Linked DNA regions of Coturnix japonica. The protein of the gene in region 4 interacts with the protein of the main gene of each other region in a biochemical or structural test. Links are inferred from orthologs where the notes say so. Each region holds a gene or a part of one and is shown on either strand. Other genes may lie near its edges.

Region 1 (7,232 bases), on a different chromosome or scaffold from region 4:
GACTGCAGCGGTCTATTCTGCATCACTTACTGCCAGCCCTTGTTTTGTCGGGCAAAACTTATTGGGTAACAGCAGCACTTCTTATCGATGTTATTTTACAATTCCATACATGAGGGAGCAAACAGATATACTTATTAAGTCTGTAATATCAGACTTAATCAGAAACGCGTGGTGTGTTGCTCGTGCTTTAAGCCCAGTCTGCTGTTTCTGTCTGCCTATAAATTCTGCAGGATAAGAGGGATGACTCATATTGCAAGCAGCCCTTTATGCAGCACCTGCCCATGACTTTCTGGCTTTTTTAAAACCTTAAAAAATGTTTTATACTTAGGAAAGGAGTGCTAACATGAAAAAATAAGTGAGATAAGAGCACCATATTTCATTCTTATTCAGTGCGTTGAGTGAGGAATGGGTAGGCGTGCTAGATCTTAGTACTGGTGTTTGGGTAAGCATTAGTGTGGTGCAAACATCTCTGAGTATAAATATTCTTGATGATATGCTTGTTCTAGATTGTATGTAAGGATTAAGAGTGGTTGTAGTTGCTTCTTTCATTGGAAGCAGTGCATTTCTGAATGACATGGCTTAAACGAGGCGTTGCTTCAAAACAGTTGGGGTAGTGCTAAGGTCAGTGTCTTGGGTGGAGAAAGGGATGATCTGATTTATTGACTTGTTTTGAGAAAACTTGATTTTTGGAACAACAGAATAAAACATTGCATAAATTCTTCATGTGAAACATCTGAACATTATGTCCAAGTTGAAGAAGGTGCAAAATCTAAATTTCTCTGTAAAAGTCCCTAAAATACCCAGGGGAAGTATGCAAAATGTAAGGGTACACAGTGCAGAAATCTCACCATAGGATGAGTGCCATCCTGTCATTTTTGGCTAGGAAAATCTTACTGTTATTTGTGTGTTGCGTAAATGAAATACAAAATGAGAACTCTAGAAAATGAAAAAGGAACTTGCTTGTTTTATGTAGAGTTTATTTGTGTATTTCATATACAAAGTGTGCTTCTATACGTGACTACTCACACTTCTTATGTTCTAGCATGCTCAAAACCTTAGAATCTATTTATCAATGAGTAACTGCTTGTACAAAATGATTTTGTTGAAAGAATTTTTGTTTGAGGCTTGATATTGATTTTTCCTTTCTTGCCCTGGATTTCAGATGGTTAAATAGTCAACCTGATTTTTCTGTCCCAACGAAGTTATTCTGTCCTTCAAGATAGCAAAACTGTGATCTTAGAAACTCATGTGAGTTTGTGCTGTCTATAACAGTTGCACTTGAAGAAAACAGTCAGGAGTTTGTTGCTGTTTGGAAACCTGTGTTTGGGCAGTGGGGAAAGAGTGAGTGAAGCAGAGCTGGTGAAGCAGGAATCCACAGCAGGAGCATGTTGCAGTTCAAGGCAAAAGTCCTTTGCCTGCAGAACTGGAGCACAATTTCTCGCTGTAATTTAGGTCAAGATGTTTATAAGTTCATTGGGCACGTGGCATCTTTACTCCTATTATTAAAAGCTGGCTCAAGATGCAAACTTTTAAAAGTGCTCTGAAGACTTTAATAGAATTCACTGTGATCAGGTTGGTGTTGCTTTCGGGTGGGAGGAGAGATGTGGAGGTTCTTCAGAGCTACCAAATACAGATTCTTTATGGAGACTCAATGTCAGTCACTGTCGTGTGGATAAGGAGAAAAAAAAAGGAAGGTAGAGGTGAAGTTGTTTGTGTGTGCTGGGATGGAGTTGTGACACATACCTGGTTTTGCAGATTGCAAAGGGATTTCTTCCCTGAACTGTCTGTCCCACTGTTGCAGTGGGCTTGCTGCTCATGACTGGCTTGAGCAGCTGTTTAGTGTGGACCCTGTTGGTTACTGGTTGTTTGCTAATACCAAGGTGCTGTTAAAGCCATTAATATACATAAAATTGTACATGAAATTTCTTCTTGATGAAATATTGGAAACACGAGCGCTTTCATCTTTCATATCTGGGAGGAAAACAGTTTCTCACTGGTTCCCTTCCTCCCATTTTGTGTTTTGTTTTGAATAGCTAAATAAAAAAGCTTTAAATCTGAGAGTGATTGTATCACTGTGAGTAATAACTTGTGTGTGTCACAGAACTGAGTCGAAATGAAAACTAGCAAGCCTTTAATGAAAACAGTGTGGTGGCTCAAATGTGGGCACTGAACTCCCAGATAACAGCACCTTGTGTGTGAACCCTGCCAGATGCTGGTGGTACCTTTTCCAGTAGGGAAGGCAGTGATTTGATGTTGGTAAACTTAATACAGTTTGAGTATTGCTGCTGGAGATGAGCTGCACCTCTTGTAATAGTGCTGTAATACGGTGGTCCTTCACATCTGGTGCTGTCTGCGTCCTGATGAGGTGGGGAAGGAGGTCACAGAGTGGCAGCTTTGGAAAAGACATGAGTGAGAATTCTTTCCTACCAAATGAAAGTAGCATTACATGGAAATAATGTGGCAATCCTTATTTAAAGTTAGAGAGGTAATAGATTGGAACTCTGTGTTGTTCCTGGTATGCATTTGCAGGTATTTTGTCAAATTCCCTGTGTGTTAATAATGAGGAATATTCCAACCTTAGTCCTGTTCTGGATATACACGTAATTTAGCCTTAGATTCTTACTGTTTTTAAAGTGTTTGCAACTGTGCCTTCAACTACAGAAGGAAAGAACAATTGGAAAAACTACCTAATTAATGGTCATTTTCATTTTTAAGTTGCTGCATTTCTCCCTACAATGTGTAAATCTTCCATATTCATTTTTGTTCTTGCTAAAACCAGACAATTAATTTTCTGGGAAGCACTGAAATTGCTTTGAGTTGTAAACTATCCACATCCATATGAGAGCACTGACGCCTGCAGGGCAGATCAGTTGTTGTGATTGTTCTTTAGGAAAGATCAATGAATACTGCAAATGTTAAATGAATGTCAGTCAGCAACAGTGCCCAGAAGAGTTCCCAAGTGTACAGACTAAGCTGGAAATATACAGGCAGCTGAAATATTACTTAAAAACGTGCTTAACGTATTTTTAGATCTCTCAGTTTTGAACAGAAGTCTCAAGTCAGCAGATTCTGTCTTACTTGGGGGAGGGCACAGAAGGCTTTTCTTAAGAATGTTAGTGGCTTCTGCTCAGCCTGCCTTTGTTTTTTAAGGGATGTTCGGGTTCTCTTTTAATGTGTTTTTTTCTAAATGTGAAATGAAGTTAGTGTAAGCAGCTTAGTTGGTATTTATTTCCTCAAATCTTCATTTCTTTCCTTGTTCCCATCTCCCCTCTTCCCTCGCCTCTCCCCCAAGCAGACTTCAACTTAAGCTGTTTGTCTTTGACAACTTGCAGTGCTGCGTTCGATACAGTCCTTGGAATAAACGTTGCTGTAAAGAAGTTGAGTCGTCCTTTTCAGAATCAAACCCACGCAAAGAGAGCTTACAGAGAGCTTGTTCTTTTAAAATGTGTCAATCACAAAAATGTAAGTCTGCCTTTGTGTTTCCCTCTCTCGTTCTCTCATATCTCAAAAGCTCAAGATTTGCTTTCTTGCAAATGTTTAACCAAAGTAGCAGAAAAAAAAAAAATGGTGAGAGAAACCAGAAAAATTTGCAGTGGGTTTTACAATGTGAGGTTCAGCTCTCGGTTGAGCTGTTTGGAGGATGAAGTGCCCAGAACAGGAGGCTCTTGTTGCAGCATCACTATGGGTTTACCATCAGTGTGGACTTTAGAGATGGTTTTGCTGTAGTGCATCTGCCTTTTTACATCCAACTGCAGCAAGCCCTGTTTGGCACTGAGTTTGGTTGTGGGCTTGGCTCTTCTAGCTGCTCTGTAGTTATATTTCCTGAGTTTATGCAAGATTTTTATTAAATATAATATTTGCCTGGTGGATTTGGAAGGTATATTGGTGCAGCTTGACCAGTAAACACAATTGAAATGCCGACATACCATACATGCATGCAAGGTTATCGAGCCTTCTACTTGATGTAATTAAACATGCGAGTACAAGAATATAAGGATCACAGTGTGTTGCATTGTGGTGCCAATATAAACTGGGAACAGTGATGATGGTGAAAGTTTTGTACTCGAGTGTCAAAGTTCCCTGAGTCAAGTAATCTTCTATAACTGCTGAAATATGCTTTTGGTGAAGCCCAGAAGTAGCAGAATAAAGGCAAGGTTGTAATTAAGGATGGCAACATAGTAATGGTAGCAGTTCTTTTAGAAACAATGTAAATTGAATGGGGCGTCACCTTTGCTCTTGTTTAGTTAAAATTTCTTGCCCAGTACATGTTCTAAAATAAGAGATTATTGTTCATGCGGGGAAAAAGGAACACATTTCAGGTACTGAAGAAGGATATGGGTGTTAAATAACGTAGAGGGGAAAAAAAAGCTTGTGCCCTATCTTAGTCCCTTCAGCACATGTGCTGCAGTTTTCAACTGTATCTGAAACAACAGTTCTTCAGTGTGAGTGAGTTAAGTGAAACCAAGTAATGTTAAATTGTGGTTAGTCCTGGTATGCAATTGGATTTGAATAATAATTTCTGTAGTGATTGGATTTTTACTTGAATTAAAGCTGAAACTTCTTTTTTCTTTATAGATAATTAGTTTATTAAATGTATTTACACCACAGAAGTCACTGGAAGAATTTCAGGATGTGTAAGTAGTAGATTTTTGTTTTAATTTTCCTGACAAATATTGAACTAAGCCATAGCTGTGCATCTCTGCTATCTCACTGTCTTTGTGCTGAAAGTAGGGGGTAACTAAAGCCTAAGTCTGAGCTTTGGTCAGTCTTTCTTGGCACTTCTGAAATAAATTGAGAAATAAAGTTGTTTTGCTACTACCATCAAATGGAAGTGGGAAGTTGTTATTTGCCTCCTATCCATTTGTTTATCTATCTATGATACTTTGCTGATTTCACCTGCATCTGCTTTGTGTGCATTGTCTTCTTTTAAATGGGTCACTTAAGGATAATAACTTGACAGCCAGATATAATGTGGGTGGTGATTCCAGTGATTGACTCTAATTTTGAAATGGTGTTAATGAATGATATTTCCTTAAAATCTTAAGCATTCTTATTGTTCTTATGGTTTATGAATGTTTTCTTCTGCTTCAGATATTTGGTTATGGAGCTGATGGATGCCAACTTGTGCCAAGTTATTCATATGGAATTGGATCATGAAAGAATGTCTTATCTCCTTTACCAGATGCTATGTGGTATCAAACATCTCCACTCAGCTGGTATCATCCACAGAGTAGGTAGTATTAGATCGTTACTGATATTCTTTATGAACACAGATGTTCTTAGGAACCTGAGGGGTAGGCAGGGAATTGCTGTTCTGAATGTTTATAGTTCTTTTGTTCATACTATGACTGTACGTGGAGGTTTTCAGATTTGAAGATGAAGACCAATGCATTGTTAACAGATCTTAAAACAGATTAAATCAGTTCTGTGGATTTAAGTGATGCTGAACTGATAAACTCATAAAATATGAGCAACTGTGTACCTTCCAATTTATTAAAGAATGAGTCTTTCCAATTTAATATTTGACTTTTACAAGTTATATTACCAAATGGTTGTTCAGAACTTTAAAGTCCTGAGCATACTTCATGCAACTGATTCTGGTTTTCTGCAGCTGCTCTTTGTATTTTCCATGACCAGTCATTCTGCTTGACAGTCATGCTTGGGTTTTTTTGTTCCTTTCCAGTTCTTTTTTCCCCCTATTTCCAGGATACACCTTTTAAATCTCTTCTCCCTGGGAGTTGAAAAATTCGGTCAGCTTCTAGTCTAACGTGCTTTTTTTTCTTCACTTTCAATCCATAAACATAATGGAGAGCCTGTATAAATTGCAACAAATCTCTGCCTTGCTGAAAAATCTACTGTTGTTTATAGTTAACGTGTAAGAGACTGAAGGGGAGGGCTGGAATTCCGGCTGGACTCCACCTGACTTGTTGGCTGCGATTTGGAGCTAAGGGGGAGACAAAATGTTTGCTGAGAAATTTGAGCCTGTTGGAGCTAACAGAGCAGTTGGACAGAACTGATGCTGGTCAGACATGAAAATGGGACATTGGTGAAACCAAACTAACCAAACTGTGAATAGCCAAACAAAGGCAGGAAGTTTATTTAAATAGAGAGGCTAAAGTGGATTGTGTTGTGTTAGTCTGGGACCAGAGCAAAAAGACCTGTCCAGACCTTGAGTGGAAACTCTGGATTAGATGAGAGATCGGATTTTGGAGAGAAGCCAGGCTAGGAAAGGGACAGAACTTGGATAGCTCAAAGGAATATGTCTGGGGATGACTTAAAGGGTCTGTGACTAAACAGAGCTTGAAATAATGTATGTGACACCAACCTCTGTTATTAATAGATGAATATTGAAATCTGATATGCTTCACATGGCCCAGCATTATAACAAGATGAGATAACAAATTTCACTGCCAACTACTGTAAATAATTATTCAGTTATTTCAAGAGAAAAGTCTGTGAGGAAGATTAGAAACTGCAAGCAAGCTGATTCAATGCCATTCTGCAAAAATTGGTTGCTTTCCTATTTGCATGTTCCTGCCTCCCTTAAGAAAAGGAAGTTCTGCACCTGAAAGCATAATTCATGTGGTTGAAACTACATCAGTTACTTGAGCAGAGTCCAAATATGCATCTGTAATTCAAATTCTTGTGAATGCAAACGAATGTAAAAGTGCTGTCATGGGGTAAACTGGTGATGTTATTGACTTCGGGGGGGGGGGGGGGGTGTATCATTCAGTGTGTAGATCCTTCCTTAACTGCAGTAATTTCTTATTAGGATTTGAAACCCAGCAACATAGTAGTAAAATCAGATTGTACACTCAAAATCCTTGATTTTGGACTGGCAAGAACGGCGTGTACTAATTTTATGATGACTCCATATGTAGTAACACGATATTACAGAGCGCCAGAGGTTATCCTTGGAATGGGATATAAAGAGAATGGTAAGTTACTGGAGTGATGCTTTAAATTGTTTGTCTAAAGCATATGTGTCTCCAAACATAATAGCTTTAAAAGGCTGGGACAGAGCTAATTTCCCTCTGCTGTGTCTATTCTTAATGCTAATCACATTACTGGAGATTATTAAAACATAAAAATAAAATGCACAATAAGTATTTTGTGGAGAATAAGAGTTTTCTACCGTATCCATATCTCCATTTAGCATGTTCTGTTCCTGCTTCCCTGCTGTCTTACCTTTTCCTTTGTTGTCCTATTGCATTTTTCTTTATCCTACCTAT
Region 2 (7,892 bases), on a different chromosome or scaffold from region 4:
GTTACGTAGCTGGGGCTTTTACTGTCCATCACAGTCAAGGCAGAAAACTATATTCTTTCAAATTGTATATTTGGAGCACAACTTACTAAAATAATAAATATTTATACAACAAATAATACCTTCAGGCAGGCTGGATGCCATCTGTCAGAGTTGGATTTAATCTTAAGGTTGAGGCATGGTGAGCTGCCATGTAGAAATGTTCACAGAAGTTATCAGTGAGTGTGTCATGGTTTTCAGGTGAAGTTATGTGTGGCAGATATTGACAGCGTATTCATGTAGTGTATGGAGCTGGTGCTCGCATGGGGAAAGGAGTGAATTTGTTTGTTTTCTTCATGGAACAAGTTTAAATTCTGTTTAGTGCTCCAGTGTGCTGGGATCATTTACTACTGAATCCTTGGTATGTCTTATTTAGCTCTGCAGGGTAAACCAAGCATTAAACAATGGTCTTCAGAAGAGCCACTATATGTAGGAAGTGGCAGTTTTAAAAACTAAATGATATGTGAGCAGGCTTCTCTTTTCATCTTCATAGGGCAACTGGGATACTAAAAACATCTGCAGTAAGTTTAAAACTATATCTGTTCTTTTTGGTGTGTGTTCCCCTGCTAGAATTTTAGAGGTCATACAGTCCTTGACAGTGGACTGAATAATGAAGGTGTGCTTGTCTCAAAAACAGCAGTGCTATTGTGTGCTGAAGTACTGTTCTTGGTATCTGTGTAGATAAATCACTGCTAAAATAATTTTCACTAAAAACGCAGCAATTGAATTTACAAATAGCATTGTCATACCCTTTAAGAATCTCCTGTTCTTCCAGTTCATGTATGCTCTAAGTTATTCATTGCTCTTTCCTTTTGTTGTATGCAGTACTTAACAGTATAGTTTCTTTGTCCAGTACTGTATACCTGCACCCCTCTAGTGGTATTTGTTGGCTTCAGGTCAGGACTTCTTTTTTTTCCTAATTGCAGTGAATATGAACACGTTGGAATCCTTCTCATTTATCTATTTGCTAGCATATCTCTCCCATGTCAAGTACTGTCTTCTTGCTGCTTAATGTAGTATAGACTTATGCAACATATGATACTGATTTACATAGATAGTAAGGAGCTCTTTTGACTTGAACAGTGTTTTCAGTTCTTTATCACACAGAAGCCATTTATCATCTTGTAAAGTAATAATTTTCTTAAAGTGGCCTAGTCTAGCAGCTGTATTCCTGCCTGTCCCCAGTTACTCTCTTAGCTCCTTGTGTAATGGTCATGAGGAAAAGGCAATAGCTTTTAAAGGCATTTTGATGATGGTAAGCACAAAATCAAAGACGATTCTTTCTTTTGGCTGAGGTTAAGTCTAGACCAGCCTTCATTAGTAATTATTTTACAGAATGAGATAAAATAAAATTAACAAAGGAATTTGAAAGTCTTGTATTTTACTGAAGCTGGCTGGGAAGTTCCATGCAATAGAGTCACACTGCAGACAGCTCATAGGTGCGCACAAAAAAATGTTGATATCTTGTTGATACCGTGTTTGGCTCTGGCTATGATAAAACCTGTGGAGTATTTGAACTGCTGGCAGGAAGGCTGCAGTGGGTTTCTTGGAGCTGTACTTGCCCCATGTGATTGTATGAAATTTTATTTCTAAGAAGATGAGCATTCCAGCAGGATAGAATTTCCCCTTTTCTCCCAGGAGTATCCTAACAGAGGTCTACGAAGGTAATGAAAGTTCTGGAGTGTAAGACATGTGACTGAGGCCCCTGGGTTGTCTCAGCCTGGAACAGAGGAGCTGAGGGAAGGCCTTGTGACAGCCTACAACTCCTCACAGAGAGCAGAGGGACAGCACTGAGCTCTGATTTCCAGTGACAGCAACAGAACTGGATGGAACAGCATGGAGCTGTGTCGGGAAGGGTCAGATTGAGGGTTAGGAACAGGTACTTTGCCAGAAGATTGTGGGCATGGAACAGACTCCCTGGGGTAGTGGTCACAGCCTCAGGTTGATGGAGTTCAAGGAGCTTCTGGACAACGCTCCCAGACACAGGGTCTGATTTTGGGTGGTTCTTTATGGAGCTAAGATTTGGACTCGGTGTTCCTTATGGGTCCCTTCCAACTCGGGGCATTCTGTGATAGTATTGCTGACTTGCACTTATCCCATTCTAAAGCTTGTTCCAGTGCAGAAAGTGTTACTGGTTGTACTTCACTTGCTGTTAAATGTCAAAAGAGTTTTCTCCTGCAGTTTAATGTGCACAGAGGAAATGTACTCTTCCTAGCTGTTAACCTGAGGAGGTCAGTAGTCATCACCAGTCCTTCAGATATCTCAAAGCATGGTGTTAATATGAGTCATGGGGCCCACAAGGAGTGACATGTTGTAGGTCTGGAGATGTGGAGAGTACCAATAGGAAGGGACAGATCTGTGGCTGTTCCTTGGGTTTCCAAGGGATTCTGTTTTTAGAAGCTGCATTGCTACCTGCGTCTGGCAATAGCAGTATGGATGGCTGCATTGGTGGCTGTGAATATTTGTTGCGAGCTCTTTTTCTTGTAGAGCACAGAACATAAATTAATTTCAGATATTCTGGTTTGTTTTGTTGTGTTCTTTTTTTTTTTTTTGGAGTGTGATGGACATCTATCCCTGTGTGTACAGCAGCTGATGCAAACAACAAAGCACATCTGCACTGAGCAATACTGCTATTGCTGCTCCTTCCTACACTGACCGGTGCTGCAGCCTCCCCCTGCAGTCCACTCTGTCCTGGTTCCCCATGAGGTACTGGAGCTGTGTCTGCAGATCCCATTTCTCCCTGCTCCCCCTTTCCCCCCCCTGCAGACCTCTGCGCTTTGACGTCATGTGCGCTCCTGCCCGTTGCTATGGCAGCCCCATTCCCCATCGCTCCGCCTGTCTCCTCCGGTCCTTCCACAATGGTACAGCCAGCATCAGCTGCACAATGGTTCCCAGGCAGTGACAGAGCGTGATTCAGCAACCAACCTCCTCTTTTATTCCACTATCATCAGACATTTTGCCTCCCCTTTTTCTTTTCTCCTCCATTCTCTTTTATGTAATTATTTAAAGGAGAACGTCGGATCCAGCTGCCCACCATTTTATTTTTCTTTAGATTATTTTTATAAGAAGCTCATCTCTTCCTTGGCACCATTTGGAATGTGGCTTAACAATACCACCTGACGTGCAGCTGGGGGAAGGTGGCTGGACAAGGACAGAGGCAGCACGGAATGGTAGGTACCTGACACTGGTGGTACCTGTGATACCACCAGTGGTACAAGACTGACCTGCTCTTGTGGGGTGGGGTGATAGATGCTGAGTGTTGCTTTAGTAATGGGGGAAGCAGGAGGCAGGTCAATGGAGCAAATGGTGAACTGGAGTGGGATGGCTGCAGCCCTAGATACTGTGGCTGAGAACCATTGTGTTCCTGTGGTTGGGTCTGTATAAGTGTGTGTTTGGTTGTTTTGGTGGTTTGTGAGAGCGGTGCACATCATGGATGGGGTGACAGTGCTTCGCCAGCTGGCTCATGTAAACAGTTGTGGTTTGCTCAGCCTCATCACTGCCTGGGGGCTTTGGGAGGTGCACAATTCAGCAGCAAGGAGTACATGATGGGAGCTGTATTGTCCATGCAGAGCCATATAAAATGAGAATCAGTGAAAGAAGAGAAGGTGATGCTAAGCAAATGGAAAACTGGAGGACGTGGGTTAGTGGGCATGGTGTGGGGATAGGTCAGTAGTTGAGCATGATGATCTGAGAGGTCTTTCCCAACCTTAATGGTTCTATGATTTTTATGACATATATCTTGGCCTTCAGGAAAGTGGCTGAAATGAAGAGAGAAAGGGAAAAAGGTGCTGGTGGGAAGGATCTGAAAAGCTGTGCTGAGTGCGGTGGTATCCTGTAAGCAAGTAGTTGTCCAAGGTAACCACTGGTCTTCTGCATGACTGCCCCAGTATAAGTGAATGGAAAAGCTGACTGCGTCTGATGGCACCATGTGAGCTTTGGGAGAGGTGTTTACAGCACGCTGCAGGGCAGCTGCTCTGCAAAAGAGCTCAACACTTGCTGAATGCTGCAGTGAAATTGGTGCTGCTTTGCAGGGAGATATTTTGGCAGAAAAGCTCTTACTATAAGAAGAAATATCAGTAGTTTTTCTTCTACAGAGGGACCTAAGAAGGAACAAAACAAATGCTATTTGCCTAACGAAGTGTTTGTGTTGTGCTCCCAGTGACCCACACTGGGCATGTTCCGTGGCGTTTGTGTCTTCAATGGCTTTCAGCTCTTTACATGGGCTCCTTTTGCTGCATAGCTGCATGGTATATTCACTGCAGCCTTTCCCCCCTGTGATGTGCTCTGTGTGATTTTGGCAAAGATCTGTTTAAAGACAAACTAACTGTCCTTGAAAATGCAGATTTTTTTTTTTTTTGGGGGGGGGAGGGGGAAAAGAATAATAGCATAAAGTTTTTTCTTTTAAAAGAGAAAAATGTAAATACCCAGGAGGAGCCTGGAATCAGGTTGTTGGACACAGAGGATGTAAGACCAGCTTCAGAAGAAGGAAAAGGTTGAGATGGAATGAGATGGCCTTGCTTCTGCACAGGGCTCTTATCTTTGCCCACACATAATCTTGCTTTGGTTTTTGTGCCCTGGAGAGGTTCTCCAAACCTCAGATCTTTAACCCTATTTCAGAATGTTGCTCTGTAGCCACCAGCCAGGAACGCATCAGAGCAGTATTTTCTTCCATATACCCCTGCTGTGTGCTCACTGTCTTGATGCTAGGAAAGGTGGCAAGGAAATACCTTTCAACTGGCTGAACTGGCTTTCTCCTGGGGGGAGCAGATGTGAATGACAAAGGTGATTTGACCTCAGCCATTAAACCATATTCCTTCTCCTGACCCTCAGTGAGCTGCGTGCTCACACAGTGCTCCATCCTGCTGCTCCAGAGCATGCAGAATTAATCACAGTCCTGGTGTAATTGTTACTGTATTGAGCAATATTAGGATTGCAAACATGTTTCTAAATGGGTTAAGGGCAAAAATCACTTGATGTGAAAACCTGGTTGATTTCTGTTGCCTGTCTGCCTTGTTGGTGCTAGCAAATGTTCTGTTGTTGGAAATGTGTGCACTTAAGGAGCTTTTTGAGAGCAGATTTTGGGGATGTGTGGGTTTTTGTTATTTTTAATTATCATTGTTTGTTTTTAATTATTATGATTATTTTGTTGTTGTCAGTCATTGACATGTTTATAGCCATTTAGAGACTTAATAGTAATTAATCAGTTGTTATAAGGCAAAAAAATCTTCCAGTAGTGTAACAGTATTAAATTTGACTCTAGAAAACAAAGAGGCAGCCATCAAAATGTCCCTACCATTGTGTTTGGAAATGTCACAAAGCTCTCCCACAGTTTGCTGTCCATTGCACAACTCGTGCAGGAGAGGGGTGGGGGGGAAGAAGCAGGCTGAAATGAATGGGATGTTGGCATTGCTCTTTAAGATATCATATTTGTATTGAGATTTGGAAAGTAGAAAAGCTGCACTTGCATCCCCAGCTTTGAAATTTGCTGTCTCTTAAACTCTTATGATCTATAAAGCTGGGTCAGTTCTTGGGATAGTTCTTGATAACAGAAGAAATCAGTGTGTTGATAAGCATTTGGAACAAAGTAAAGTCTGTTGTGTGTGTTGTTGATTTTCTTGTTTTTGTTTGCTTATGGTGAGCATTCTTCTGTCCATAGACCCTCTAATTCCATCTTGGGTTTATAACACCACTACTAGAAATTAGAACCTGAAGGCCTAATAATTGCAATGCTACCATAGTTGCTGCTCAGTTTTGTCATCAGGCTTCTCTGAACCCCAATACTGAACAGCTTTGCTTCCAGCATCACTGTTCTGCTGCCTTGTCACTGATTCTGTGAAACAGTGGTTTGAATGGGGCCACCTGCAAGAAAAATTAACCCTAATGAAGGGCAGCAGCTTGGAGGAGAAATGTTGCTTTTGCTATGAGCTTCTTTCTTGCAGCACCATCTGCATAGACAGACATAGGAACATGTCTTTCAGACAAACAAAAAAGCTTTTGTACTCAAGTAATGGCATTGGTCTAAAACTGAAAGCAATGTGTAACTTTGTTGGTGTACAATGTGAGGTAGTAGATTGGTTTTCTTTTCTCTTTCTCAGTGATAATGAGATGCAAGGGTAGATCCAAAGCAAGATTGAGCGTGGTACAGGATTTTACATCACAGTGTGTAGAAACTGAACAGTCCTTAAGCTGAATTGTTGTATTTCCCTTTTAGCCTGATGCACCTGCTTTTGTTAGCCATTGTGAAGGGCACTTTTGACTGTTTTTAATATAGAAGGACAGGAAGCTCAGCTCCTAATACTTCTTAGTCTATTTTGTTTATTCATTAAACAGCGATTGTTTGATTTCTTTTTAACTTTGCACATGAACATACTGGTGGCAGTAGAGTGTTCTCACCTTCGTGTTGAGGGAAGGGAAGGTCATTAACTTTCATTTATCTCTGGATTAAGTCTGGAGAATAGGACAGAACCAGAGCCTCTTTTAGAAAAACAAAGAGCAGTTTTACTTCTACACTGAGGTTCTTTTCCTGTCCAGGACCATGAACATCTTATGACTTCATGACTACAGGCTCTTGCTTGCATCACAGTGAGGCTATGGAAAATTTAGGGTAGTTCCAGCTTCTGGAACAGCTGCCAACTTTTTGCATTGTAATAAACACTGAAAGCCGAAGGCTCTGAAGAGCAAAATTCTGGTTTCCATCAATAGCTGTTTCAGCAGGATTTCACAACAGTGGGTCAGGTAACTTGGGGGACTGTGAATTACAATTCAGGGAGCTGGGGAGTTTGCAGTTTGGATGTGAAGTGCTGTGGTCTCTCTCTGATAAAGCAATCGATTTAACATATAGATTTTTGTTTACGTTCCATGACTTCCAAGATACAGTTCACTTTTGTTTGGAGTTATTTGAAGACATTACAGAACAATGCTAAGAAAATGTTGCCCAGACTTTAGTGATGATCAATGATGAATGCAGCTGCCTTCTGCTTAACGCTTAACACCTATTTGTATGCTTGGGGTTCTGTTCAGTAGTTGGACACCAGAGTGGTATGCAATTGTTCCTCTTCTTAGTTGCTATTTACTCCCAGAGCTTCTTACATTTGCTGCTTACCCCTTTTCTTCAGTTTGCATATAAGTACAGCTGCTTCATCGTTTGAAGATGTTTGGTTGTGGCGGTGTTTTTGAAGAGCATCACGATTTCATAGACAACAGCAATCCAAGGCCTTTCCTTATGCCTCGGTGTATCAACATTTCATGAAGTATTTCTGTTGCCAACTTGTGATCACAAGTCAAATTTCAGTGTAATCCCTGGGTATGATTAATAGATGCCTGTGTGTAAATCTCAGCATTTCAGTGAAGGCTGCTGATGTTTATTTCTCCAAGGAAAAATCATACGATTTGATCTGAAAAGACAGGATTGAAACAAAAGCAAATTACTTAAGGACAGTTTCATGATTTGTGGTGCAATGTGTTCTAACTTGGAATATCCAGAACATGAGCTCCTGAACAGCTGGATTTGCCATCTGTAATTTTTTTTTTTTTTAAATTTTTATTTATTTTTATTTTTTTTATTTTTTTTGTGGGAAAAAAAAAAGCCATGACCCCTCTTTCCCATTTAAGCAGCACTTCATTCTGGTTTATCTTTGAATGCGAATATCAGGGGGAAAATGTTAAACTTCTTTGTTGTGTGACATGCAAATATTGATGTTATGGGTTACCTTAGTTTGCCTGTGTTTAACTTACTTAAAACCCTTCAAACCCAAATATTTCTTTCTCTTTTTTTCATGTCTAGGGCTAGTATTAGAAAGCTGTACCAGCAGCCGGCCAGACTCCAGTATCAGCTATGGCAACCCATGCATGAAGCT
Region 3 (7,232 bases), on a different chromosome or scaffold from region 4:
ACTCCATCTCTGCAAAATGTTTTGAATACCACAGTGCTCATCTGTCAACACTTATTAAAGTCAGTGCAAAGATACTGTCAAGTCTTTATCAATCTAAATCTTTACCCAATGCCATGAGAGCTAAATATATCTTCTGCAACTTACAGGTGAAACATTTTAAAATCCTTTGTGTGTAATGCCTGCCTTGTTCTGTGCCTCTGGTCTGCTGTAAGAAAGCCCCACACTTATCTGCATGGCAGGCAGCATGCAATGATACAGGCACACGTGGAAAATATTTTTGTTTCAGTCATTTGTCAAGCTTTGAAAAAGTTGAGTGCTGAGGTGGTACGATCATCTCAGCTATGTTAGGAGTTGAACAACAAATTTAAAAAACATATGAAACTACCTGTAGCAAAGAATGCTTAAAATATTTAAGGACACTAAAGAAGTGCATGGAAATTACTACCTGAAATGTTTCAAGGGCAGCCACAGCAGTGCAGACTGTGATAAGGAATAAGAAGTTTCAAGAAATTCGCTTGATGTATGTACTCAGGATAGTGCTGCTGAAATCTCAGAAGAGAGCCATAAGAAGTTATTACTGAAGCCACACTTTCCTCATGCCCATTTCCAAGCATGTCTTCTTTGCTTTCTGAGATTTCATTCAACTTGTTCCACAGAAAGAATTTTGACACATCACACCTTAAAATTTAAAGGAGTAACACAAAGAGCTTCACTGCACGCAGTGAAGCTTCAAGCAGTCAGACAGCAAGCTGCCAAATGAAAGTCTACCAAGAAGACATGCAATTGAAATGTCCTTCAAAATCATTCATGCATACTATTTACATAGCTCTCGTATCTATAGACAATCTCATTGGAATGGGCTACCTCTAAACTCTGTATTAATGCACAACCTGAAGTACTTCAGAACTCCACCCATATTTACAAAGGCAAGAAATGTATCCTTGAAGCTGCCCTCACTGCTATGCAGCAGCCTATGAAGTAGGAGAAAAGAAGCAAATGTACAAATGTTTCCGTTTATTACTGGTTTCTACGTGCTCAGTGATTCAGTGCCTACCTTACAGGAGCACAAACTGTCCTTGAAGCAATGCCTGCACTAGCACTTACTGCCTGCCTGCACAGACCCACAGAAAGAGACTCATTGTCCATTCTAGCACATCTATAAGCATGTGCAGGGTAGAAAGGGCAGGGTGTAACAGCTGGGTGGTGCTTCTGCCTATTATCCTTTCCCCAGCTCTTTCACACACACAGTCATACGAGGGCAAACTGTATGTGTAAAGGAAGCCTTCACCTTCCCTCCCTGAGCACTTAACTAGAGTGAGGCAGCAAGTGTGTACTGGAATCAGCTGAGCAAAAATGTTCTGCCATTTACATTCTGTTTGCTATTCACACAATACCCCGGTTCTCTTAAATGAGAAACAGTAGACTGAAAGGGAGTGTCATACTGCCAGTTCTAGCTTGCAGTCCATTCCACAATGAGGTAGACTACTGAAATTGACAAGCACCGCTGCACAGTAATGCAGTTGTAGCATTCAGAATTGATGTTCATGATTTTGCTGTGTACATCATCCTTGAGGAATACTACACAGTACTGGCTGAAAGTACTGCACAAATGTAGCTTTAATTAGTTTTTTTCCTGCATCATTTCTCTCTATGATAAATCAATAAATAAATAGAAATCAGCCAAGAACATAACACTGCAAAAATACAAGTTTACAGTTTCTCAAAATTACAGAAAGCACACTGGAAAAGTTATAACTAGGCAACCTCAAGAAATCTTCACACTATACATAAATATATAAGATGTTCAACTTGAATAGGCAATCTTAAATTCAGAATGTCCTCACTGGATTTAACACATACAAGCCATTAGAAAAGTAACTGTCATTTTTGCCTGCGGGCAACCTGAAGGAATGCTTTGTGACACACAGGTGTATGAAAGCCCCACTCACAGGTCTTTATCATGACCTGTTTGTCTGGAGACTTCAAATACTTATTTTCTACTCTATTAGTAAAGGAGCTGAAATAAATTGGGCAGTTCTTTCAAAAGATGGAATTTCAGGTTTGGTTACCAAAACAACAAAGGTGGAGGTGATTTCAGATTTCTTGTCACAACTACTAAAATTGAGCACGATATAGAATTAGAGAAGGTAATGCAACTCACTGTTAAAATCATTTTATTTTTTTCACCCTGTGCGGATTATTTTCAAACAAACCCAGAAAAACATCCAAGAGGTTCATTCCAGAATTACAGAGGAACAAAGTAAGCCTGATGATTTCCTTTCAGCTTTCTCTCCCTGTCTATGGCATAGGCTACAGAGCACTATTTGAATACACATTTCTGATTTTTTTTGTGGCTCATTTACATAGAATCAGAAGATCATTTAGGTTGGAGAAGGACTCTAAGATAAACAAGACAAAACTTGATGCAATGAAAAAGTAACACAGAAATTCACTTACCCTATGTATAATTCCAGCTGAGTGAAGATGTTTGATACCACAGAGCATCTGATAAAGGAGATAGGACATTCGCTCATGGTCTAGCTCCATCTGAATCACCTGGCACAGGTTGGCATCCATCAGCTCCATTACTATGTAGCTTATAAAGAGAAAAAAAACAATCAGATTGCACTGCCAGTTTACTGTGTTCTTTACCTTGTTCATCTTTCCATGTTAATATTTTTAAAGTTAATTCACAGCTTTAGTTCAAATCAAACTTACACATCCTGAAATTCTTCCAGTGACTTCTGTGGTGTAAATACATTTAATAAACTAATTATCTATAAAGAAAAAGAGAGGAAGTATAATCACATCACAGCAATAGCAAAATTGCAAATCAACATTTCAAAACTGATATGTGTCATCCCGATGCAATCTTCCTGGTATTCACTGAAGCACCAGATGCTCAGTGTCAACTATGCCTAACATGCTGTAATAGATGCTAATGATTTTGTGAGAAGTATTCTTCCTCCAAAAATTGGACAACCTAAAAACATTTTGTGTGGATTAAAAGATATCACTAAAGTTTAAAACCTGAAGAAATTAGTCAGTCTTTCCTTGCTCCCTACTTTAAATTTAAGGAAATTTCATTAAGATTCTTATTCTGTATGATGAAAAATTAAATGAAAAAGCAACAAGAAAACCTACTAAAGAGATACCACTTTGCCACAGACAGAGGTGAAGCAAGAAATTGATCCAAAGACAAAAAATAGTAATTTTATAGTATTTTCCAGTTGCTAATCATGGATGGAATATATAGCAACAGTCAAGATATTACTCATCAAGAGTCAAGCAGGGTTGCAATAGTTTATAATCACACAAATCACACAACTGGGGAAATTTTCCTTAAGAGAATCTACATATAAACCTAAAAGCCAGGAAGAATTTTATCTTGCTGAAGGTAGATTGGAAAGGTGATAAAGATGGCATACAGCTGTCATTTAAGACAGAAAATGGCCAATACAAGCCTTCTGTAGTCCAAATCCTATACATCTATCATTTTTTCTCTCCCAGTATCTCTAGTCAGCTCTGCTTCACAGCTTCTCATGCATCAGACAATTTCTGCTGTCACAACATAAGATTCCTAACTCATTCATGCATTACAAAATAAAGAAATAAATAAAAACTATTGCAGGCTTTTTCCTCCTACTTGTTTAGCAGCAGAAACAGAAACAAGAATGCAATTACCACTCAGAGCATTCTCATTTGCCAGCTGTCTGTAAAATGAAGCAACATAACACCGTCTCCCTTCCTGAGTCTGAAGGAGGAGTTTGGAGACTGGACAGGTATTAACACTAGCCTGCAACAGCTCTTCTCAGATCCTTTTTTACTTAACACGGACATACGGGCATGTTCTGAATACCATTATAATCCATAAATGATGTCATCTCTGGAATGGTCATTAATATGCTCACAAAGAACAACCACACAGTTGATCTTTCAGTATTTGAAGCAGAACACTCCGCTTACATTTTTGTGATTAACGCACTTCATAAGAACAAGCTCTCTGTAAGCTCTTTTAGCATGGGTTTGATTCTGAAATGGTCGGCTTAGTTTCTTGATTGCAACGTTTCGCTCAAGGATGGCATCATAGGCTGCACTGTAAACAAAAATAACATTATTTCATATCAGTATTACAATCAGTTAAGCTCAGTCATTTTCCACTTTTCCAGATACCATGTATTAAGTCTGAACATAAACAAAGCTTCCAGTATTAATCAGCTTTGGGGAAGGTACCAGCAAGGTGTTCATGTATGCTATGCAATGCAAAATTCTGAAAGATTTTCCCAGATTCATAGTCCTACCACATAGCAATCACCACTAAAAACTGCAGAACCTCTGTTTCCTACAACATCTGCCGAAAGGTACTGATCTCTTGCCACTCATTAGCACTGAAGAGCAGACAGCCTAAAAAGATCCAAAACGCTTTAAACATAAAACCCACATTAATTTTACATATAATTTTCTACTGAAAGATAGGGAGAAGAAGAGAGGAAAAGTAGGTTATACATAGGCCCCATGCTCTCATTTATTATGCAGGATGCAGCTGTTTAATATCCTTACAACAAGAGCACTAACATCAAGATAAAAGAAAAACAAAACAACAACAAATAATAATAATAAAAAAGCTAGGACAGCCCTAACATCTTGATGTCTTCAAGGAAGAATAAAATTCTGTTTCCAGATAGTTGCCAAGATCGTTATATGATTCAGTAACACAAGCTGCTGAAACGATGAGGACTGTTAGTTGGGACAACTTCTATACGTATTTCCATGACAGAAAGGCAGGGATTTTGTTTTCTGCAAGAAGTAATACAGCAGCTGACTACTGTGCAGACTCAGGAAATATTTGTCAGCTAGTAAAAAAGCCTCAGCAGGGAAAAATACCATTTTATTGTCTCTTGCTGAGAATGGTATACAAAACTAATGAAGAACATCTGCCAAAAATGGCCAGCATTTACCAAACATAATTGGAAATATGTTGTCTATACAGTATGTAGGCTTGAATGATTTTTTTTGAGCATCATGTAACTGTTCAGTCACAAGAGGAAAAGAATAAATAAATTGGAAGAACACATACAGATAACTTTTTGTTTGTTTATATTTCCTCTATCTACCTGTAAGATATTCCATATCTTATGAGAGAGAAGCAAAGAGGAGATAAGGCAAAAATGATGAACTTCTAAATCTGCAGTACATAAACATAGCCTTAGAGTCTGTTTCAGTGCTGAGCCTTTCAGTCATCTACTTCAAAACTACTTCAGCAACAGGACTAGTGGGGATGGCCTCAAGTTGCACCAGGGGAGATTCAGGTTGGATGTTAGGAGAAACTTTGAAGCAGTGGTTAGGAGCTGGAATGGGCTGCCCAGGGACGTGGTGGAGTCACTATCCCTGGAGGCATTCAAGGAATATTTAGATGTTGTACTGAGGGACATAGTTTAGTGAGAAATATTGGTTGATAGGTGGATGGCTGGATTGGATGGCCTTAGAGGCCTTTTCCAGCCTCAGTGATTCTATGATTCTATATTCTTCCAAATTAGGCTGAATTAGTGGAAATGAAAAAACAAAGAAACCAAAAACCGACTCAACCCAAATCACAAGAATTATATACTATCTCCTTCAGAAATGGTCAAAATATAACCATATGAGTGCTCTGGTTCATTTCAGGACAATCAGAGTGGCTTAACTGAAACAATTTCATTTACCATAAGCACAATTTGCATATTACACTGATAGTCTGCATTGCAAGTGCTCACTAACTGGTGTAAGACACTTCTATAGAACTAAGTGAAACAGGTCTCTAGCAAACTATTTTAAGAAGAAAAAGCAAGTAGAAGCATCAAATATAAAGAGTTATTTTTGCTTTTGTTTCACATGGAGCAGCGTGGCTTAGGATCAGGATTAGTTCCTTTATCCAGGTTTTTCCCCATTAATTTATGGGACTCAGCACACCTAAATGAATTTACACAGAAGGGCTCCAGTTCTGAAGCAGGAAGGGATGTAGGTTAAAATAAACAAAACGCACTGTGAGTGACTAATGATCACCAACACTGTTTTTCATGTAATGTATAATTGTAAAGGCACTCCAAAAATTCTATTAACAGAACCTAAAAGCATATTTATACTTTAAAGAAACCTTACCATACTATTCCTTGTGCTCCTGATCCTATTGGTTTTAAGTTTTGATACCGTTTCAATACAGTGAACGTAGAATCCCCAATTTCAACACTGTAGAAATTGTTGTCACGCTTGCTTCTGCTCATGACGGCAACTTATGTAGAATGCTTCATCCAAATTCTGTTCCCAGCCTGTAAAGAATTAAAGAAAATTAAGATATTACAACTGTATTTAATACAACTAAAGAAAAAATCCCCATAATGTATGGAAGGTGGTTCTCACAGAAGGCCCATATGCTGTTTTTTTCACACCTGCAGGAACGAGACGATGTGTCTGAAAAGTTTTGGTTTTAGCAATGTGCCTCAGACAGGAATCTAGAATGGAAAAATATTAAATGATTGGTGGCAAAAATCTTACATGGCAGTGAATGGAAAATCAAATGGTTGGTTATGTCATCCACAGAGCGTTGCTGAGGTTACAGTGTAGTCTTATATTGGCTGAAGCAGAGAAAGAACTCAAATCACCCCAGATCAATAGGTAGGACAAAAAAAAAAAAAAAAAAAAATTAAAAAAATGCTATCAATAGAACAATGACAGCCATACGGATGAGAGATTAAAAGAGGAATGAAAGAGAAGTACCCTGAAGTGGAGAAGCAGGAGCACCTCCGCTTGCATCTGAATTATCATTCCTTCTTTTGCAACTCCTTGTGCTGTACATCAAAAAACCATCAGACTTTGTTGTTTCAGCATGGGGTATAGTTTATCACTTCAGCTAAAATGCACTCTCTTCTAGCATAAAACTGACTGACTTGAGAAGAGTCAGCTCTCAGAAAAACCATTTATTGCGAATTTTTTTATGGCAAGCCAAGGTGAGAGATGCAAGTCAGTCACTGGGAGGCAATGAGGAAGCATTCAGGTCAGCAATGAGAAGTCTCAGAACCTAGGTAATGCTTTCCTCTGCCTCCTTTTCACCTGGCCATTACAGCTTCCCAAGTCTGAATCAACTGGCACCTACTCCATCTGTGCCCCTGCCTCCAAGTTTCATCATTTCTACACCACTGAGAATTTAAGCCTCTCAACCTTTTAAGCAAACTCAATTCCACCAAGTCTTTGCCCCC
Region 4 (7,775 bases):
AAACAAAAAAAAAAGGTCAAGCAGTTTTCATCTGTTTCATCTGACTCATGCTTGGGAAAGAGAAATCATTTTTGTTAGGCTTCCCTACAGCCAGCTTCATCCACTTTAAAGGCTTCCTATTACCAGCCTTCCACTGTGGCAATATGAAAAGGACTTCAGATCGTCCAATGCTCGACTATTCACCTTGAGCAGTTCTCTCACAGGGATTCACAGTTTGAAGTCTCAGGCCCATGACTTAAGGACCACTCCCAAAAGAGCAGATCAGACATACTGCACATTGGGCAAGAATGCACAGAGGAGAGGCTGCAGCACACAGGTCAGGCTGCAAAACTCTGTAAGATTTGGAGCTAAGTGTAGAGACTGAATTTAGTAAAAACGAACTGAAAGGAATTTAGGACCAAAACCACAAGTGGAGCGCTCCCTGCTGCCGGGGACCTGCAGGATCCCAGGATCTGCTTCTATTTTACACATAGATACAGAGGCTACCTGTTGTTTTAAGGGACAGTGCTGAGTGCTGCAGCTTGCTTCTCAATACAAGCCCCGGGGCACAAAAAGGCATCACAACCATCAGTGTTTGTGCTGTAGTGTTCCTCATCCTGCCCTCTGAACTACCTTATCCCTTTACAGCAAAGGCATCAATATTTTCCACAATTGTTATTTGCTGATTAATATTCACAATGAAATAAAACCAAAATAAACTGTAAGTTAATGGAAGTTAGAGAAACATGACAGCATACAAGAAGTGAGAACGTATCACAACACTCCAACAAAACAAATCCTCTTCCCACAGTTAGATGGCATGAAGTTATGATGGCAAAAGCAAATTCCCAGCAGGAAGGAATAAGAAGCAGCATTTCAAGTTGTTCTTTGGTTCCTTTTTCAATCGGTAGAAAGAGAATCAATCACTTTGATGTTTCAGGCAGGTTTCTCAGTGTGTCAAGGAATACTGCAAACAAAAACCAAAGTGTACTTCTGGCTGGGTAAGGATGAGCTATAACCCTTTTCTCCCACAGCACATGCACTGTTTCTAAAATCCAGAGGTCACACAATACAGACACGTGTTTATTAAATATTTCTCTGGTTCCTTTCGGATGATTCTACAAATGATCAAATAAATATTTAACAAGTGAGGCATTAAAATGGCACTAAGATGATATTAAAAAAGACACTGTGAGTGCTGGCATCCTCGTGCTTGGTTTTTTTGTTGGCGGTGGGACGGTCAATAACAGTTTTCCTTCTCATCCCTGAGTAAGGTGAGTCTGCCTCTGGGAGAGAAAGGAACTCTGGTACAGAGGGTCAGTTGTTACCCCAGAACTACCTAATTAGTGTGTGACCCAGCCCCAGCCTGATGCTTTAACCAGTGGGAGGTCTGAAGGGCCGGTCTTGCAATGAAGAAATGGATGACGCCATCCTGCAGCCATAGAGTGAGACACTATGAGATAATCTCACACAAGCTGTAATGACAAAGCCCCACTCATGGAGATAGAAAAAAAGTGACTAAAAGGAAAATTCTTTACTCCTTACGGTGTGGGACAAAGGAGAGAGCCACACATCACTGTGCACCTCCCACAGCCAGGCAAATAGTATGAAGCATCAAAGTGGATAATCAAGGGAAGGAAAATCCCCAAATCACAACTGTGGACCAGCTGCATCCTGCTTCTTGGAGAGGTGAGACCACCATCACAAAAAGGAAAAGCAAAACATAAACCCACAAACCAATGTAATGCAAGACACATGGAGGGGATATTGAGTGAATGGAAGAAATTGTAAAAGAAAAAAAGAAGCGTGGTTAAAAGAGGAAAAAAAAGAAAGAAAAAAAGAAAAAAGGCCTTGGCCTTACCAAAGAAATCATCCCGTACTATGAGAGCCATCCCACACGAGAAAGGGAACAGAAAGATAGGGGGACAAAGGGGGAAAAAGGAAGAGAAAAAAGCAGCCATTAAGTACCAATCTGTAAATAGCAAACAGAGCAGCTCATCAGCATGTGTAAACGCATGTGGTGCCAGTATAGGTGATGCTCAGCATAAACTAACATACACCTTGTTCAGCTGCAGCCTGGCCTGGTAGGGATTTATGCCTGAGAGTTCAGGACAAGCTGAAGACGAGTTCATCTTTTTCTTCCACCTTCATCACTTACCCTGGACTAAATATCTCTGTGCATTCCAACCCCACCACAATGGCAAGTCAACAGACATGATGAACAGGGTGAAGGAAGGGCAGGAGAAAAAACAAAACGGGAGGGATATCAGAGCTGTTATCTGGCCTTCCCTGCACAGATCCAAATCCACTTTGCTACTGAGATAAATTCCAGTGCCACTTCAGAGGGGGAGTCTCTGAGAAAAGACCACCCAAAAATGGCCTACAGTGACAGCCCAAACAATCTGAACTAAGAGAGAAGATGATGCCGTTCCTTCCTCCCTTTTGTGACCTTACAGACCCAACATCAGGAGGTTCCGTGCAGAGGAATGTGACAGAGCTCAGCACTGCACAATTATGCCACAGATTTTGTACCGTATCAGCCCAAGTCGCCTGTCCTTATTACAGGTGAAACTTCATCCAGTTTGCACTGAAATCAACAGCGATTTCCTTGATTTCATCTAATTATTTTTTTTATCAGTACCCAAATGCATTTTACAGAGAGGTGAAAATTCTGCAATTTAGGCCTGCTGACCTTCGTATGGGACAAAAGGCAACAGAGGCGGCACTTCAAACTCCTACTGAAAAGACAAAACAAACAAAAAAAGGCCTGTGGTTCTGCCACTCTCTTCCCTACAGAAAAGTCTTTCTTTTCACTGCAGCTGTGGGTCAGGATGCATTAAGAAACTCATAGTGAGCATCATGCAAGCAGAGGGACTCCTCACAGTCTTGTTTACTTGAAGAACAGGAGTGAACTATGTAAATCCTGTGCTCAGCTGAGCTCAGCGCAGAGCACAGCGCCTGCCCTAAAACGAGGCACTTTGCACCCCAAAGCAAAGGAAAGGCACAGCGTGGTTTTCTCAAGACCTTGAGACGGGCCAGTGTCAAAACCTGCAGAAAGCTACACAAAAAGCGGATCAAAACACAGCAGACACGTGAACACCAAGCAGGAATAGCCTCCTGCCCAGGAACCCGCCAGTGCAAGGAACCAAGCAAGGCAAAGGTGGGAGAAAGTCAGCAAAGCCAACCGTGATTGGACAAGAGCAGGGGAGTATCACACGTGTATACCATATCATTGAGTCTCAACGAGGTAAAAACAAACAAGAAAGGAAACTGAGCAGAGCAGAGATACACACCTGAGAACTCCCCTATGGGCCATGTCCAGCGAAGCACAGAGAGACAAGGGAAAAAAGGAAGTGAAAAAAAGGATCGATCAGTGACTGAAACCAACAAAACTAAAATTTTGTTTCAAAAAAAAAAGAATTAACAATGATTCAGCCATTTCAGTGTCAAAAGGCATGAAATAGTAAGGACGGGAACTGCCACGACTCTACATACAGGACAAAAAAACCAAGGAGAGGGAACCCCTGTTAGAACTGCAGCCACACGCCTCAGCCACCCCCAGCCTTCCAGACACGAGTCTCAGACAGTCGCATCTCAGCCTGGATAAACCTTTCTTTTCTCAGTCACACAGCACTAAGCGCAGAACGGCCAGTTTCCACTGCCTTCTTGTTCCCCTCCCTTTGTGATCATTCTCCTGTTAGCAGACAGATCTGCTGAAATTAAACGTGCACTTCAGCCACATTTCAGCATGCAAAGGACAGCTGCATTTTACAACATTTTTTTTTTCCAACAGCAGCGCCAGGGCTCAGTCTGATAATTTCATTTAAACTTCTGTATAGAAAAACATCATTTATATACATGAACTTACCACTAACGTAACAACTGCTGTTTTCACCATAAAACACCCATTAATGAAGTAGATTTTAATCTCCAAAGCAAACACAGGAGGCCACCCTAACACTGAAAAAAAGGACTTCGCAGGGCCCATTACCCAACTGTTAGTCCTACCCTATGTCCAGAGTAAAGGGATAATGAAGACCAGGAAAGGAGATATGAGAGAAAGGGGGAACAACCCACAAGCAGCTGGGACTGCTACACTTTCACAGCTTTATCAGACTGCTACCTGACACAAAGCTGCTTCTCTGACTGCTTCAAAGTCCTCATTGGGAACATAGAACATAATCAGACTTCAGATACAAGAAGCTCCTTCAATATCAGCCTAAAAGGAGAATGCAAAACTCTCTTGGATGACTAAGAAGGTAAAAACTGCAGTGAAATCTATGATGTTTCCATACGAGAACGACAATTGTTCCCCTTAAACTTAAAGAAATCTTAACAAAAGGGTTTTTTTCTTGCAAACTTCCAAGAAAAGCTCTATTCCAAGTGAAGCTGCCAGAATGCAGAATTACTGGCGTGAAGATTTGTGGGAGGAGGGGAAGAAGCAATCTTCAAACAAAGGAAAATAACTTACAGACACAAAGACAGCCCAAATACACAGCCATTAACTCAAGCTGTTGGGTAAGAATTACTGCTGTAGGTGCATATTTCAGTCACAGTGTATCCCAAATTCCATGCCATTTTCTAAAGGTCAAACATCCAAGTTCGGAAAAAGAGTGAATCTAAACGCTTCTAGAAGCCTAACGGAGCTGTCTTGCTCAGAGAAAACAGAACAGTCCCAACAAATTTTACCTAGCAGATCTGCTCCTTCATCAACATCTCCGATCACCTCGGATCCTGCTGTGGAAAGTTCATGATAGAGGGAGTCTGTGTTGATGCCAAACGCTTTGTTCACAATCCCTGGGTTGGGCTGTGGTTGGAAGAAAGAAAGGCAAGGATTCTTCTTACTTGGTGATGTTTAAGCCAGAACATAACTCTGAAATACTGAGCATCACAGACCAGTACAGTCAAAACTCTGAGAGTGGATTCTGCCACGGGTTGACTGAGGGAATTCAGTAAGTAAAGGAAAAAGAATGTTTTATTCCCCATACCATGTACCAATACCTACCTTGCATGACCTCAGCCTTGCCTCGCTGATGCCTTTTCAAATAGCTGATAACTACTCAAAAATTCATAGAAAACCTTCCACTGGCAGTCCTAAGGCTGTGCAGTGATGCCTACACTCCCACCAACTTCAACAGCAACCCTCACAGCAGTAAGATCAGATAAGGACTCAAATGCTGTGAACAGCCCTGGATTTCTTTTTTCCTGTCTCAGAGCAGCCTGGGCCACTCACACAGATCCTTCCATATTACTGATATGTGCCTTCCCTGGAGATCTCAAAGGCTGCCAGCACCTCATTTTTGCATTAGGCAGAATTTATGCATTTTCTGAAACAGCTGCATCTTGAGCTCTGGACCACAATATCCACCCTTCACAAAAACAAGACAGAGGGCCAAGAGCAGAAAGTCACAACCAATACCTGTTACCAGGGCGCTCCAGGCGGGGATCCTGACACATATCCAGCTCAGGAGTAGAGTCTATGATGTCCTGAACATCGGACCACTCGTCACTGCTTCCCATACCTACGTAGACAACACATGATCTATGGCAACAGTGCTCCTTAAAGGCATTTCTGCAGCTGCAAATAGCACAGCTTGACAATGTCATGGTGCTGCATATAGTTAAAATTTCACTTTGAAACTGCACAGTTCAGTGCATGAAATCTAACCTGGTTTCTGTATAATCTGTAGCCTAAGACCAATATTTGAGGAAGAAAATAAGGGACTCCCCCTTTTGCCAACTTACATGTATTAGAAACATTTGAAAGCTGAGGCAAGCAACATAAACACAATGTCTGTTTGCATAGAGAATTCCCGAAGGATTAAGGATGTCACCTGTGTACTACATTAGCCCCTTTAATGTGTTAGAGGTGACATTTTTGTCCTTTCCAAGCTGCCCCAGAAGTAAAATCTACAAAGCCCATGAGAACAAGAGCGTTCATTGCTTGGTTGAGGCTGGCACTGTGGGCAAGCAATAATAAAATACAGAACTGGACTCAGCTGTGAGTCTTTTTATTCAAATGCTACACTAGAGGATGTTGCACGTTGTTTTATAGTCTCAACCTGTTAGGAAACAGCTGGTGAACGTTAGCACAGGAATTTCCTCTGTATTACACAGAAAAGGTTCTGGTTCTGATGCTACCTCAGAAACCTGTATTCATAAACATGCTCCAGCTCCCATACCTATGCTGACATTTCCTCATCTCCTGCGTGACCTGGACTTCCATGTTCCGGCTGTTCCGCTTTTCTCGTGTCCTCTTGTTGCTCTTGGTTGTGCCATTGTATTCGCTGATGGGTTGGATGCTCTCATTCAGGGGTGTGACAGCAGCAGAGGGCACAGATGATGTGGGAGTGTTGGACTTGGTTCCAGTGGTGCTCGGCGTGGTAGCTGCTGAGGACTGCCCAGATTCAGACATTTCATCTTGGGGACATTATGGCAATTCCAGGGTAGGGAAAGAATAAAAAGGGAAAAGCAGAGCTATATATTTCAGTTAAATCTCCGGTTTGTTGGTATATGGCTGCCTTAAAGCATTAAGCAAAATGAGCCTTGCTCACTGCACTGACTAAATGCCCAGCGTCACTGGAGACACGTGGCACTGCAACCAGAATGCAGCAGTGAGTTCCATGCTGAACTCAGCAAGCAAATCCTACCTGTGAAAGGATTGACATCCTTCTTCTCTTACTATGAAGAGTTATCTTCACAAGCCACATCATTATGCGACCTCTTCATCATGCACCTCAAGGAAGAAGGTCTTTCATAAGTGAAAAGCACCTCCAATTGCCACTGACTACAGCAGAAGCTGAAGGGCTTTGGCACTCGCAGTAAGCCAGGACAGCATTTCCAAGACTGGAAGGTAACACGGACATTGCTTGGGAAAGATGCGAGCTCTTAGAGGATCCAGAAGCTGCCATTACAGTAAGCCACTGACATAACAAGAATGAGAATCCCCTGCGTTGAGAGAACAGCAGCGTATTTCTTACACCAAGCTGCAGAAGCAAAGCAGATAACAAACTGATGGTCGATTTTGCTAGTGGGGAAGCCCTATGTCCCCGCATGATGTTACACAGAAGCTTGCCAAGCATGGGTCTGGCTTGACAGCACAGAGAAACAGGTGTGGTCTCCCCAAATTGATAAGGCAAGACCCAGAAACTCAAAAATAAGAAGCTGACAAATTAACGAAGGCAACAGACTTCCATTGTGAAATGTGCATGAGTGAGTCTCAGCTTTACAGACATTACAGCCCCATTTCTTGTATTAACACCTCTTGAAAAACATGGGAGACTTGTAAGGCTTTGTGAGGATTTTACACTGCAGCCCTTGTTTGTCAATTAAAGCAGCGCTGCTTCAAAGTCAGCCAATTAATGTCTTGACCGATGCAGTAATCATCCCCAGTACCAAATGAGATCTCTCCTTTCTTCACGGCAGCCCACTCTAATTGCTGCCAGCAGGGAGATGGCAAAATGAATTTGGAGAGTTCTATGTGCTGATGACTTGCAATTGGGTGCAGTGACGCTCAGCAGCCGCACACCCAGACTCAGCTATAATTGTTACTGCTTGCCTCTCCCCTCCTGTGCAACTGCTGCAGAGGCTCAGACTGCTCAGCAGCTGCTTCAGGCCTCCCATCCTCGGAGCTGTGATGCTGGTTCACTAATTTCTAAGTCTTGCTCTACTGTTCTAACATTAACTGCACAACATAACAAAGCAATTCAAAATGGGATGAGAGAAATACTGAAATATATTAACCCTTTGCAGCCTTTTTTAATCTGGAATCTTATTAACACCTTCCCTTAATTAGA

Evidence for each region.
Region 1: the proteins of MAPK8IP3 (region 4) and MAPK9 form a complex in vitro, tested with the Homo sapiens proteins (2 studies listed by BioGRID). The link is inferred for Coturnix japonica from reciprocal best matches to the Homo sapiens genes MAPK8IP3 and MAPK9.
Region 2: the proteins of MAPK8IP3 (region 4) and MAPK10 form a complex in vitro, tested with the Homo sapiens proteins (3 studies listed by BioGRID, with this or other methods). The link is inferred for Coturnix japonica from reciprocal best matches to the Homo sapiens genes MAPK8IP3 and MAPK10.
Region 3: the proteins of MAPK8IP3 (region 4) and MAPK8 form a complex in vitro, tested with the Homo sapiens proteins (3 studies listed by BioGRID, with this or other methods). The link is inferred for Coturnix japonica from reciprocal best matches to the Homo sapiens genes MAPK8IP3 and MAPK8.

The regions. Positions count from the first base shown.
Region 1 is NC_029528.1:4,148,942-4,156,173, reverse strand, and holds part of MAPK9 (mitogen-activated protein kinase 9), read left to right. Parts: intron 1-3,332; coding exon 3,333-3,462; intron 3,463-4,575; coding exon 4,576-4,634; intron 4,635-5,091; coding exon 5,092-5,230; intron 5,231-6,772; coding exon 6,773-6,938; intron 6,939-7,232. UniProt on the Homo sapiens protein: Serine/threonine-protein kinase involved in various processes such as cell proliferation, differentiation, migration, transformation and programmed cell death.
Region 2 is NC_029519.1:40,961,855-40,969,746, reverse strand, and holds the start of MAPK10 (mitogen-activated protein kinase 10), read left to right. Parts: upstream 1-2,833; 5' UTR 2,834-3,203; coding exon 3,204-3,206; intron 3,207-3,786; exon of another isoform or gene 3,787-3,891; intron 3,892-7,819; exon of another isoform or gene 7,820-7,892. UniProt on the Homo sapiens protein: Serine/threonine-protein kinase involved in various processes such as neuronal proliferation, differentiation, migration and programmed cell death.
Region 3 is NC_029521.1:15,696,922-15,704,153, reverse strand, and holds part of MAPK8 (mitogen-activated protein kinase 8), read right to left. Parts: intron 6,306-7,232; 5' UTR 6,261-6,305; coding exon 6,139-6,260; intron 4,097-6,138; coding exon 3,967-4,096; intron 2,778-3,966; coding exon 2,719-2,777; intron 2,597-2,718; coding exon 2,458-2,596; intron 1-2,457. UniProt on the Homo sapiens protein: Serine/threonine-protein kinase involved in various processes such as cell proliferation, differentiation, migration, transformation and programmed cell death.
Region 4 is NC_029529.1:12,371,601-12,379,375, reverse strand, and holds the start of MAPK8IP3 (C-Jun-amino-terminal kinase-interacting protein 3), read right to left. Parts: upstream 4,787-7,775; 5' UTR 4,669-4,786; intron 3,285-4,668; 5' UTR 3,273-3,284; intron 1-3,272.